Schizosaccharomyces pombe: one gene and its partners. Changing the gene in region 3 together with the main gene of any one other region gives a genetic interaction. Each region holds a gene or a part of one and is shown on either strand. Other genes may lie near its edges.

Region 1 (3,504 bases), on a different chromosome or scaffold from region 3:
ATTTGAAAGCAAATAGTTCTCGAAGGGATTGAATTTCTTCCGGCGAAAGGAGTTTAAAGAAATTTAATTTTAGATGCAAAAGAACAGTGAATCAGAACAAAAAAGGAAGTTAATAACTCGATTTCGCTTTAATAAATAAAAATATTATCATAAACACATTAAAAATTCTATCAATAGACCTTAACTATGTTTTTTATACAGAAAGGAGTATGCCGTCAGTCAAGTTGTAACTATATTATCATTTCCATAAGAAAACTTCTTGTTTTTCCTATTGATTGAAAAATTTACTAATTAAATAGTATCGTAAACTTCAAGTAAAATTCATCAACTAAGTCGTAAGGGACTAATGGTTGAAGATGAACGAAGACAATTTCATAAAAGTTATCGAAGTAACATGTGACTTGAGTTACCAAATTATTGAAAAGGGCATGTAGTAGTAAATATCAGAAAAAAAGTAGGTAAATAATAACAAATGTAGGCGAGTTAGAATAAGATTCGTTCTTTTTTATTATTCCTTTTTAATCAACAATTTGTTTTTTTTTATTGAACCGAAAATCATCGACGCCGAGTAAGAAAGAGTGAGATTATAATAATCCTTGACATGAAGAATTTTATAGTGAAAAAGTATCTCTGATCTTAAAACTTTCATTCATTTTGTCAAGGTCTGAAATGGGGCACATTGGTCAAGTTTCATTTTGTTCACCCTACGAAATACCTATGCACATAATTCACACATTGACAAGGTACGGAAATGCCGAATATTATAATAAATCAAATTATTTCTAGTTTACCCTTCAAATCCTAAATCTCAAAAACTCTGGTACAGTTTCTTTTAAGTGATTTAACTTACATTAACCGAAGTGACATTTACAATTTTCGTTTCAAACAATATCTACATATAAAGTACTGTGTTATGAAGAACTGGCCATAGCAAGATTTTGCTCTTGAGTTCAGTAATTCTCTAAGTTTTAGTATACCAATTCCACATGCATATCGAATAATGCGCATCCTTTTATTTCATTTTAGGTACTTTTTCATGATAGTTTGACATTTATTTTTTAAATCTAAAAAATAATAATAATAATGTAATGCAGAAGCTGTTTCAGGTATCAACATACCAATAAATTCTAGGATTTCAATCTAAGCTTAATCACAAACTTGCGATTATATTTTTTGGTAATGCTAAACCATCGTTTGAAGGATTTTTTAAACCATTTTAATTACGTGTTTTGATATCTTTGATACGGTAAGAAATGGAGCTTTTGTTTCGTCAATTGCCAATCTACATTTTTCTTGTACGAAGGATTTTATAAAAAAATATGATGACAAAGTTTATGATTAATTCAAGATCCTTGACAATAAAATATAAACAAATTGCTATAATTAATAATAAATTTAGGAATATATTTAAAATGCCATAACACTCTGAACATTTTGAAATTCGAATTATATTCCTTTTCTTTTTTTTTTTTTTTTGAAAATTGACAGATCTCTTGGGAAAAACAAATTGTGATATAACCAATTGGGGTTAAAAGTACAATAAAAGAAAAAGAAATATTGGAGTAAATAGTAAAGAACTATTTTCAGCTTTATCCATATATATTGGATTCTTTTTCTCTATTTTTTGCAGCGTATTTCGTAACCACCAAAATCTCCAAACTTTGAAAACTTTAAGCGTCCATGCGTTAATGTATTGCTTAATCGTACTACATGAACCCGTATGAAACAGAGATTTATAAAGTTGTCCCCATTCCTAACAAAGGAATGGGTATGATTGCAAAAGTAAAAATCCCCGTCGGTACAAGAATTTTTGCAGAAACGCCTTTGATAAGGACAAAAAGTGACGCTAAGGAAATCGAGGAAGCACTGTCTACAAAAACAAAAGAAGAACAGGAAGCTTTTCATAGACTTTTCAACGCTCATCCAGACACTATGGGACCATTCCTTGGGCCATTTTATTCCAATGCGCTGACCATTGATGAGACAAAGGGTGGAATGTTTTTACTTGGTTCTCGAATGAATCACGATTGTAGTCCTAACGTGAAACATACGTGGAATCCTAGACTTGATCAGGTTACGGTTCATGCTGTTCGCGACATCGAGGCTGGCGAGGAAATACTTACGACATATATAGACTTACATAAATCACATACGGAAAGACAAAAAATATTGCTCGAGCATTTTGGATTTAAATGTTATTGTAGTGTTTGCTCTGTAGAGGAACGAAAGATTAGGAAAATCAGCGATTTAAGGAGAAAGCAACTGGCCTACTATGACCGAACCATGGCAAAAATGTGTATAGTTAATCCAAGAGGTGCTCTAAGAGCATTGAGACATAGGATACACATTGCCCACGAAGAGCTTCTTTTCGGTCGGTTAGATATAATTGCACTTCTGGATGCCTTCCGATTATGTGTCATCCACGGTGATTTTGAGAGAGCCAGTATTTTTGCAAAAAAGGGGACTAAAGCAATTAGTTTGTATGAAGGAACTGATTCTGAAAAATATTTGAAAATTTCCAAGTATGTAGAGAACCCACGAAGTCATGCTCTTGCTGAAGGAGTGCCTGCTCTACCATTATTTTTAGAAGAGGATGATGAACTATCGGATTTGGAAGATAATTTATGGGGATGTAAGCTTGAAGAAGATGTTTATAGTGATACTGATTAAGCATGGGGTAAAAAACTACTGTTTTTGTTTTTATTGGAAAATTGGGCATGTATTGTTAATGCTCGTCTTAACTTTTAGTTTGATGAGCTTGGGATTGTATTTATTCTATTGAAAAATTATAAAACTTTTATGGATGATAAAAACCTGAAATTGAAACTATCTTCCTGAGATCCTAGAGTTTTTGTATCTCCTTTCTTTTTTATAAATAAAAAATTTAGAAACCTATTGGGGTTTGGCATGAATTGTAAATGATTGAGAATATTTTAATATGGAGAATATTCAGTATTTAGCATAGAAGTGAGTACTGATTTAATTCATACAAAAGGTATTTATAAAAGAAATTTATAAGAAGGGTTTGCAGTATTGAGTAATCACTTCCTATCGAGTTGTAAACATTATTGTTGAAGAGATTTAAGCATTTGGTGCATGTTTGCTGATTTTTTTAAAATATCCAAAAAATAGATTCGGTATTTTGAGCAAAAGCCGATTCACAAATAGAACCAGTAAATCAATAAACCAAATATTCCTTATTATTCAAAACAACAAAAAATTTCTTCAGAATTATACACATTCTTAAGACACTGCTTTTGTAACAATATATAACATATTCTTTAACCTCTAAATAATAAATGCATCAGTGGTGTAGCGGTAACATCAATGCCTTCCAAGCATTAGCTCCGGGTTCGACTCCCGGCTGATGCAGTTTAATATTTGCTTTTTTAGATTATCTACTAAAATGAATATCATTCTACTAAAACTATATTGGATAAATGAATCATGAAACGTGTATCAAAATGTTCTAATACAAAACTGATATGTTGATTCTATCTATTT
Region 2 (5,825 bases), on a different chromosome or scaffold from region 3:
TTTAGGTAACATTCAAATGGGTATTACTGACAGTGATGATCCTCAAGCTAGTTATCTCATCTCTGCCTGGGGAAGAATTTGCCGTGTTTTAGGAAGCGATTTTGTCCCATTTTTGAGTTCAGTTATGCCTCCTCTGTTGGTTGCTGCTACCTCGAAACCTGACTTCACAATTATAGACGACGAGGTTGATGAAAGCAAATATTCTGAACAAGATGGTTGGGAGTTCATTCCCGTTCATGGTCAACAGGTTGGTATTAGGACTAGTACGTTAGAAGACAAGTGTACTGCCACCGAAATGCTTGTCTGCTATGCTGCTGAGTTAAAAGCTGACTTTGATCCTTACGTCAATGAAGTTTTGACATCTGTTGTACTTCCAGGATTGAAGTTCTTCTTTCACGACGGGGTTCGTTCTGCTTGTTGTAAGTGTATTCCTCAGTTATTGAACGCTCGGATTTTAGCTAGCAATCGTGATCCAGCTAAAGTCAATGAGCTTTGGGAGCCTATTTTACGAAAGCTGTTGGATCATATACAAAATGAACCAAGCGTGGAAATGCTTGCCGACTATTTTGAATGTTTCTATCAAAGTTTGGAAATCAGCGGCTTGAATCTGAGTCCTTCTTCGATGGAAGCACTCGTTGCTGCCGTTGATTTGCAGCTCAAAGGATTCATTTCTCGCGTGCAGCAGCGTGAGGAGGAGGCTAAAAATGGTGACATAGATATTGAAGAAGATGAGGACATGATTCTTGCAGTCGAAAATGATCAAAACTTGTTAAACGAAATAAACAAGACTTTTAGTGTTGTATTAAAAATTCACAAAACTGCTTTCTGCCCTTTTTGGGAAAGGCTACTACCGTACATGGATGGCTTTTTGTCTGGAAACGACACTGTAGCTAAGCAATGGGCTCTATGCATGATGGATGACTTAATTGAATTTACTGGACCCGATTCTTGGAACTACAAGGATCACTTTTTGCCTTACTTAGCTGAAGGTATTCAAAGTAGCGAACCAGAAATTCGACAAGCTGCCTCGTACGGTATTGGAGTAGCCGCTCAGCATGGAGGAGAGTTGTATGCTGAAATCTGCTCTAGTGCTTTGCCCGCATTGTTTAAGATGCTCGAGCTTCCTGATGCCCGTGATGAAGAACAAATTTATGCCACAGAAAATATTTGTGTTGCGATATGCAAAATTTGCCGCTTTTGTAGCCAACGTGTTCAGGATCTTGACAAAGTTGTAACGTATTGGATTAATACACTTCCTGTAACACATGATGAAGATGACGCTCCTTATGCTTACACTTTCCTTGCGGAATTGATGGAACAAAATCACGTGGCCGTTGCCTCACAAATGCCAACGATTATTACGATTTTAGCAGAAACATTTGCATCTGGAGTTTTACGTGGAAGAACTTTGACACGTTTGATGGAAGCTTCGAAGGTTTACTTAGCTCGTTTCCCTGCTGATCAAGTTAATTCTGTCATTGCCACTTTGAGTGTCGATAATCAGAGAGCTTTGTCTGCACATTTTTAAATTTCATTTCTTTCACTCTAAGTCTTTCAATATTTTCTTTGGTTCCTCAAAATGCTTTAGTTAGTTTAGGTTAGGTTAGGTTTTTATTTAATCCATCAACAATCTTCGGATTTTGTTTCACTCTTTTTAGACTATGCCGGCTAGGTTTTCACTTATTGCTTTATACATTACTTGATTTTTCATCGTATTAAATTATTTCTTCGTGTAGCAGCTCTTTCGTGTATAATACGTTTTGATGTGTGGTATGATTATAATATATTGCTCGCATCTTTTGCAATTAATTTTTTTTTTAAATGTATATACTGTAGTCAAATTGATTTTGCTTTAGTTATAACCTGTGAGATCTGGTATTTTATTGAAAGTAGCATAGTTAAGCACTATCCAACTTCCCATCAACATGAGCTACAACTCCAATCCTTATAACGGTGGGCAATATCCACCATATAATACATATACTAGACCTAATTATTCACCAAATAATGGTTCTCAAAGTAATAACACTGTACATCAATATCAGCCTCCACGTATGCCACCCCCTTCCACAAGGCCTCAGACAGACGGCAATTCTAATCAAATCCCTATGGAGAATGTTGGTCATATAAGTTTGAGCTCTGCAAACTCCCATGCTTATGCCCCACCCTCAGGTCCGCCTCCGAATACTGGTGCTAATTCTTATGGCAACCCAAATTATAGTGGGCCTCAGCTGCCAAACACTCAGACTCAATCTTATAACTTAGCAGGAGGAGGAAACTTTCAGTATCAGTATTCAACTTGCCAAGGGAAGCGAAAGGCTTTGCTGATCGGAATTAACTATCTCAATACCCAAAATGAGTTGCAAGGTTGCATTAATGGTACGGAATGCGAAAGGTCAAGTAAACATATATTAACTTGTTTAAGATGTCATGTCTATGTCCCAACTGCTGATACAGCGCTACGGTTACAAGCAAGAAGATATGGGTATGGTTGATTACGAGAACATCTTGCTAAAACTTTTTTAGTTATTATGACAGACACGGCAAGCAACCAAAGGGCAATTCCCACTCGTCAAAATATGTTAGATGCGATGAGATGGTTAGTAAGTGATGCCCAACCTAATGTAAGTTATATGTCATGGGATTTACTTCCTAATGCTAACTATTTAGGATGCATTATTTTTTCACTATAGTGTAAGAATCATCACTTTACATCTCATACTCACATGCATAGGGCCACGGAGGGCAAACAAAAGACCTTGATGGAGACGAAGTTGATGGTTATGATGAAACGATATATCCACTGGACCATCAATATGCCGGGCAAATTATAGATGATGAAATGCACGAAATAATGGTTAAGCCTTTACCAGCAGGATGTCGTTTAACAGCTCTCTTTGACTGTAAGTCAGTGATTTTAATCTATTTTTAACAAAATATAGCTTGTCATTCAGGTGGAGCTCTCGATCTTCCTTTCACGTACTCTACCAAGGGCGTTCTAAAGGAGCCAAATATGTTAAAAGAATCTGGTATGGATGTACTTCATGCTGGCCTTTCTTATGCCTCTGGCGACATTATGGGAGCTATCAACAACGTGAAAAATATATTTACCAGTGCTACCAATGGATTTAATAACAACGCTCTACAGTACTCTAGACAAGTTAAGTTTTCTCCTGCTGATGTTATTTCTTTATCCGGATGCAAAGATAATCAAACAAGCGCAGATACAAGTGTTAATGGATTCGCTACTGGTGCTTTATCATACGCCTTCCGTGAAGTCGTCACTCAAAATCCCCAACTTAGCTACTTGCAGTTGCTGAGAGGTATTCGACAAGTACTTTCCAACAAATACTCACAACTGCCCCAATTAAGTTGTAGTCATCCTTTAGACATGAATCTTGCCATGGTTTTATAGTACACTAAACATTACTTGATCATTGAAGTTCTATATTTTTGTAGTTCCATCAGATATTTAAGGAATTTTCAATTAAGGATAAAATTTAAATCACAACAACTCAGGAAATCATATCTAATACTTTATTGAAATATTTTTGTTTGCAATTTATAATTTTGCTTAAAAAACGAGCTCAAATTAAAATTATACACGCGAGAAAACTCATGGCTCTTCCAGTCCGTTCTGTTGGGGATGAAACCATTCAGATTTGATAGCCTGTTTAACTTCTGTAGCATTCTTTATGGAATCTTCAAGCGAATGTCCGCGAGCACAGATATAAAACTTAAGTTTCGGCTCTGTACCACTTGTGCGAATAGTCATAATTACCTCTCCATTTTCAAGCTCAAACGTTACGTTATCTGAACTTTTTGAAACTGGTAAAGTAGCTTTACCATCCGTGGAGCTTGAGTCGTAACCTGTAGTAAGGTCGCGAACATTTGTAATTTTCTTACTACCAAGGGTTGCCGGATAACCCGATTTTGTGTCATAATGTCTCAAGGCATCAACCAAAGCACGAAGCTTGGGAGTGTCGCGTGAAAGGAAATATGAGTTTTGCGTAGTGTAATAACCATATTTTTTAGACATTTGCTCAAAAACCTCGGTAATTGAAAGATTCTGAAGTTGAAGGCGTTTCAAAAGATGAAGGAACGTAATCAAAGCATTAACCCCGTCTTTGTCTCTAACTATACTACCTACCATATAACCAAGAGCTTCTTCATATGCCAATCCAATAAATTTCCCTTGTTTTTCCAATTCTAATGCTTTATTGCCTAACCACTTAAATCCAGTAAGTGTTTCAACATGATGGAATCCTTCTACTTTGGCCATGGACTTTACCATAGCACTAGAGACAGTAGTTGACAAAACGTAAAAATCATCAATTGGCTTTCCAACGTTTTTGTATTCTTGAAATATAAAATAGGCAAGGATACAACCAACTTCATCTCCGGTAAATCTTCTCCAAGCACCATTAATTTTTTCTGCAAAGGCGAAACGATCTGCGTCAGGATCAGTTGCAAGGACATACGAAATACCATTAGCATCAGCTTGCTCGTAAGCCAAATCCAATGCCCCCTCCTCTTCTGGATTTGGAAATTTCACAGTCGGAAAGTCAGGGTTTGGAGAATCTTGAAGAGGTACAGAAATCATATCGCCTTGTTCGCCAAATAAGTGTAATGCTGAAGTAACAAATGGTAATCCAACGCCATGAATAGGAGTGTAAACAAATTTCAAAGATTTCATTTCCAAGGAAAAGTTGTTTTCGGAATGGAATTCGTGGAGCTGAGACCAATAGTTTTTTAAAAGACCAACTGCAAAATCCCGATCTGCTAGTTTATGATTTTCAACCAAATTTTTGTCCCAAGTAATGGGCGTTAAGTTTTTTTCTATACATGCAGCAATTCCCTTGTCATGGGGAGGAATGATAGCACAACCGTTTCCCCAATAGACCTTGTATCCGTTATAAGCTGCGGGATTATGGGAAGCAGTAATCATAACACCAGCTGCAGTCCCTAGGGTTTTAACGGCAAAAGGGACTAAAGGGGTATGGACAAGATGATCGAAGAAATACGTTTTGAATCCTTTTTGCAAGAACACTGCAGCAGTAAGTCGAGCAAAAGTATTAGACTTATGCCTATGATCGTGTCCAATTACCACACCCAGCTTTGCAGCTGATGGTACGGTTTGAAGCAAATACTCAGCGAAGCCTTGTGAGGCTTGAATCACGGTCAAACAGTTCATGCGAGCGAAGCCAGCACCAATTTCAGCTCTCAAACCTTTGTAAACATTAGTAAATGAATAAACGAACTTGATAATGTTAAAACATTAAGATGTATAGAGAGAACAATCGCAAGCTGAAAATCTAATTACACTTAAACCAATTTCGTACAAGCACGTTATATAACATTCCAAGCAAAAAAGACCAAAACAGATAGAAAAGAAGAAGAAGAACGAAAAACTCTTTCTGAAATATGACCAATATGATCATCACAATAAATTAGTATACGCAGTAAGGAAAGTGACCGATGATCAAGTATATCACTTCGACTCTAATCAAGGAAAACACAATAAAGTAGTTTAAGCTACCGGCTGTAGCACTGAGAATTCTTTATTAAGAAAGAGGCATTATTTAGCGTTCTCTTTCAATCCACTTCAACTTGCGAAATATCTCTTAACAATCTCAATTTTTTCTTCTTTTGTAATAAAAACATACCAGATGTACCAAATCCAATCCTTGGATGCATAATTTGCTTGAGGGTGGCATAATCTTCAGCCTTAATCAATTGTGAAACTTCATTCCTCGTAGTTTCATCCTAATGCGTTCAATCTGTTAGTTCCACAGTACTTCCATAGTAAATATAGTCCTAATACT
Region 3 (3,717 bases):
TTTGGTAAGAAGGCTTCTAAGGGTATCAATCCCGATGAGGCTGTTGCCTATGGTGCTGCTGTTCAAGCCGGCGTTTTATCTGGCGAGGAAGGAAGTGATAACATTGTCCTCTTGGACGTTATCCCTCTTACTTTAGGTATTGAGACTACCGGTGGTGTTATGACTAAACTTATCGGTCGTAACACTCCTATTCCTACTCGTAAGTCGCAAATTTTCTCTACTGCGGTTGACAATCAAAATACTGTTTTAATTCAAGTCTATGAAGGTGAACGTACTCTTACTAAGGACAACAACCTTCTTGGAAAATTTGACCTTCGTGGTATTCCTCCTGCCCCTCGTGGTGTTCCCCAAATTGAAGTCACGTTTGAAGTCGATGCCAATGGTGTTTTGACTGTTTCAGCCGTCGACAAGTCTGGTAAGGGTAAGCCTGAGAAGCTTGTTATCAAGAATGACAAAGGTCGTTTGTCTGAGGAAGATATCGAGCGCATGGTTAAGGAGGCCGAAGAATTCGCTGAAGAAGATAAGATTTTGAAGGAGCGTATTGAAGCTCGTAATACTCTTGAAAACTACGCCTATTCTTTGAAAGGTCAATTTGACGATGATGAGCAATTAGGTGGTAAGGTTGATCCCGAAGATAAGCAAGCTGTTTTGGACGCTGTCGAAGATGTTGCTGAATGGCTTGAAATCCACGGAGAAGATGCCAGCAAGGAAGAATTTGAAGATCAGCGTCAAAAACTCGATGCCGTTGTTCATCCTATTACCCAAAAGTTGTATTCCGAAGGAGCTGGTGATGCTGATGAAGAGGATGATGATTACTTCGATGATGAGGCCGATGAACTTTAAAGTGTTTTAAAATTGCCTGTACTTTCATTTTTAAGCTTTACTTAGTATTTTATTTATGTCGAAGTATACGCAAGTCTGACTCGATGCTCTCATTGTTTCATGACCTTAATCTAAAGGGTTATTTGGAAACCCAAAATGTTTTCTCATGATTATTAATGTGGTCTGATGGCGTTATCATTTTGATAGCTTCTCGAGCTGTTTCTGCTATCTTGAAATGAGTGTTTCTCTTTCATTGTTGAACGTCTTGAGTATGATTAAAATGGTATTATGTCTCCAAAATAGACCTGATATAAAGTGCATTTTACTTTATCTACCAGAATCGTGACTCTATAGCCATTAACAAAGTTGTATGTCAACACCTAGTTAACTGGTGCTTTGTTATCTTTGTATTGCTTACTTCTGCTAATGGCTTTGTGGAACTGACAATAATTGGTAGTTAATCATAAAGACCCTGTATGTTTATCAAATTTTATAGCATTGGGTACTAATTCCTTTTATTATAAATACAATCGTTCTTTTATCTTAGTGTTTATACTTACCTGAGTTTGTGAGTAGCAGCTTTTTTATATATAGTTTTAAAAGTATTCTATTTATTAAAACATCTCATTTGATTAAGTCGAAGTGCAAAGTGGTGAAATTTTATGGTGTTGTGTATATTTTAAAATTGCTTTACTTCAAAAACTTAGAATTTGTTTTTTGGACGAAAATAAGCTGTAGTGGATTGTGTAATGCCTTTTTCATTAAAAAGTATTATTGGAAGTATACTAAGTTAGTATAAGTGTCCATAGTCAGAATACGAGCATAATCGTGTCACTATTCGGTAGGCTATACAATATCTTCACTTGCTGCCAAGTACAACATATATAGCTTGTTTGCTACCAAACACATGTGAGCTTATTCTAACAACTAAGTACATAAGTTTTCTTTTAAACTATTCAAAATGGATTTGTACGATTATATGGCACCTACAACCACTACAGAAGAAGATGATGAAGAGGGATACGAAAAACTGAAAGAAGAAATGGGTTCGGCTCTAAATGTAATTTATCCTTTATGATGATTTACGGCGCGGAATTTACTGACATTTTATACAGAATCTGACGAATGGAAAGTTTGGTTTGTTTTGGAACTCAATGAAAGAAAAGGTGTGTTGATTGCGAATAATGGCATTGTTACTAACCGTTCAAAGAGTGAAAACTTTCTTGATGATACAAAGGGAAAAGCCTCAAGTGGAATGCAGCAATTAAAATCACAGCTTGAAGAAAATATACCTGTTAATTCTGCTATGGAAAACTTGCGAAAAGTAGAAGAAACAGCAGGAAGTTTCTGGAGTGGCTTCGGATCTACAGTGAATGGTTTTTTGGATCAAGCATTGCAGATATCACCCAAAGAAGACGATGTATCGACTCCTACACACGAAGCCTCTTCGTCTGTTTTCTTAAATCGCCACGAGAGACAGTTGTTGGAACTTGTTCAAAACGAAAATACTTTTACCCAAATTATCTCTGAACCCTCTCATGGGATCACGTTTGAAAGCTGGGAAAAAGAAATTTCCATTGATGGGAAAACTGAAGAGATCTCTTTACTTTTGGAAGAATATCCTGATTTAAGGAAACAGATGGAATCTTTAGTACCTTCTGAAGTTTCTTATGATGATTTTTGGAAACGATTTTTTTGGCATAAAGAGGTTGTACAGCCGATAAAGGCAATTCAATCAGGAAACGATGAAGAAGAAATTTTTAGTTGGGGAGATGAAAGAAGTGATGAAGAAGAAAGTGACAATGAACAGGTTAATGATGAAAAAAAGCAATCAAGTGAAGAAGATACTACTGAGAATAATTCAGCAGCTGAAGTGATAGATGAAACCGTCAATGATTTGGAGTCAGCAGTTTCAAAAGGCTTACAAATTGAAACTCAACCCGCAAGCCATGATGGAGAGGTTGATGGAGAAGTTAAAGAAGAAGAGGAAAATAAAGTATCATCTTCCAGTAATATAGAAGCTTCTCAAAGTTCTCTTGAGGTGAAGGATGAAGCAAATAGAAAAGTTGATGACGATGATGAAGACGATGATGACTGGGAATAACGACTCTCGTCAAACTATTAAAAAGAGATATACTGTTTTTACTTCTCTTCTATTCATTTACTTGTTTTGGTGTGTTTTGTTCGTATAGCTAATTATTTGTCTGAAAACATTTTGTTTACGAACAACTCTTAGGTATATTATTAGCGGAATATAAAAAACATCTAATCTTGAGTATGCAGGTTGGAGTAGTAGGACTAGAGCATTAATCAACCTTCTTATAATATTATACATTTACATATACTTTTTGATTGTGAAACTTAAGGAAACCAGGATTTAAAAGTAAATCTGTATGGGTCGACGACATCAATAGATAATAAGTCCCTTAAATAATGAAGATTTTTAAGGAGAAAATGAATTCTGATATCACTTAGCTGCTTTTAGTCTTTTTTAAGTTTCTTCCAGTTGTTGTTTATTCACATCACATAGGCGAAGATCAACAACTCGACCATGAGCAGCACCATCTTCTTCACCAACGAGTGCGTATTGATCAACGATACATTCTAAGCTGCTAAATGGCTTAGTCAATACTTCGGTATTGTAAGCGTTTAGCACAACGTGAATGTAAATAACAAGAACAAATAACCAAGTAGGAATAGCTAGAGCCCACCAACGAGATAGATAATAATGAATCTCAAAAAATTTGAGAACAGGCGCAGGCGTCAGAGCCCAAACAATATACACGCCGAACCCCAACATTGACACCAAATACATCACGAACCCGTAATACTCATAAGTAGGAACTTTTACCATTATATCCCAATCTTGTTGATCAATTTCTGCAATGGCAGTTC

What was found. A genetic interaction does not mean that the proteins touch.
Region 1: mutations in SPOM_SPAC22A12.14C (region 3) and set5 together harm fitness less than expected from each alone (positive genetic interaction), as found in Schizosaccharomyces pombe (one large-scale study listed by BioGRID).
Region 2: mutations in SPOM_SPAC22A12.14C (region 3) and pca1 together harm fitness less than expected from each alone (positive genetic interaction), as found in Schizosaccharomyces pombe (one large-scale study listed by BioGRID).

Annotation. Positions count from the first base shown.
Region 1 is NC_003421.2:2,034,051-2,037,554, forward strand, and holds set5 (histone lysine methyltransferase Set5), read left to right. Parts: upstream 1-1,628; 5' UTR 1,629-1,710; coding exon 1,711-2,670; 3' UTR 2,671-2,943; downstream 2,944-3,504. UniProt on the Schizosaccharomyces pombe protein: Histone methyltransferase that monomethylates 'Lys-5', 'Lys-8' and 'Lys-12' of histone H4 (H4K5me1, H4K8me1 and H4K12me1, respectively), thereby controlling gene expression and remodeling chromatin structures.
Region 2 is NC_003421.2:2,262,042-2,267,866, forward strand, and holds pca1 (metacaspase Pca1), read left to right. Parts: upstream 1-1,925; coding exon 1,926-2,379; exon of another isoform or gene 2,380-2,425; coding exon 2,426-2,485; exon of another isoform or gene 2,486-2,526; coding exon 2,527-2,624; exon of another isoform or gene 2,625-2,651; intron 2,652-2,670; coding exon 2,671-2,694; intron 2,695-2,734; coding exon 2,735-2,903; intron 2,904-2,942; coding exon 2,943-3,415; 3' UTR 3,416-3,616; coding exon of another isoform or gene 3,617-5,229; 3' UTR 5,230-5,264; downstream 5,265-5,825. Other genes in the region: karyopherin/importin beta family nuclear import signal receptor Sal3, read left to right, coding at 1-1,528; pgm2 (phosphoglucomutase), read right to left, coding at 3,617-5,229, 5,667-5,766. UniProt on the Schizosaccharomyces pombe protein: Involved in cell death (apoptosis).
Region 3 is NC_003424.3:1,180,438-1,184,154, reverse strand, and holds SPOM_SPAC22A12.14C (BSD domain-containing protein), read left to right. Parts: upstream 1-1,690; 5' UTR 1,691-1,783; coding exon 1,784-1,882; exon of another isoform or gene 1,883-1,937; coding exon 1,938-1,988; exon of another isoform or gene 1,989-2,032; coding exon 2,033-2,926; 3' UTR 2,927-3,156; downstream 3,157-3,717. Other genes in the region: bip1 (ER heat shock protein BiP), read left to right, coding at 1-843; mug84 (pig-P phosphatidylinositol N-acetylglucosaminyltransferase subunit), read right to left, coding at 3,314-3,717.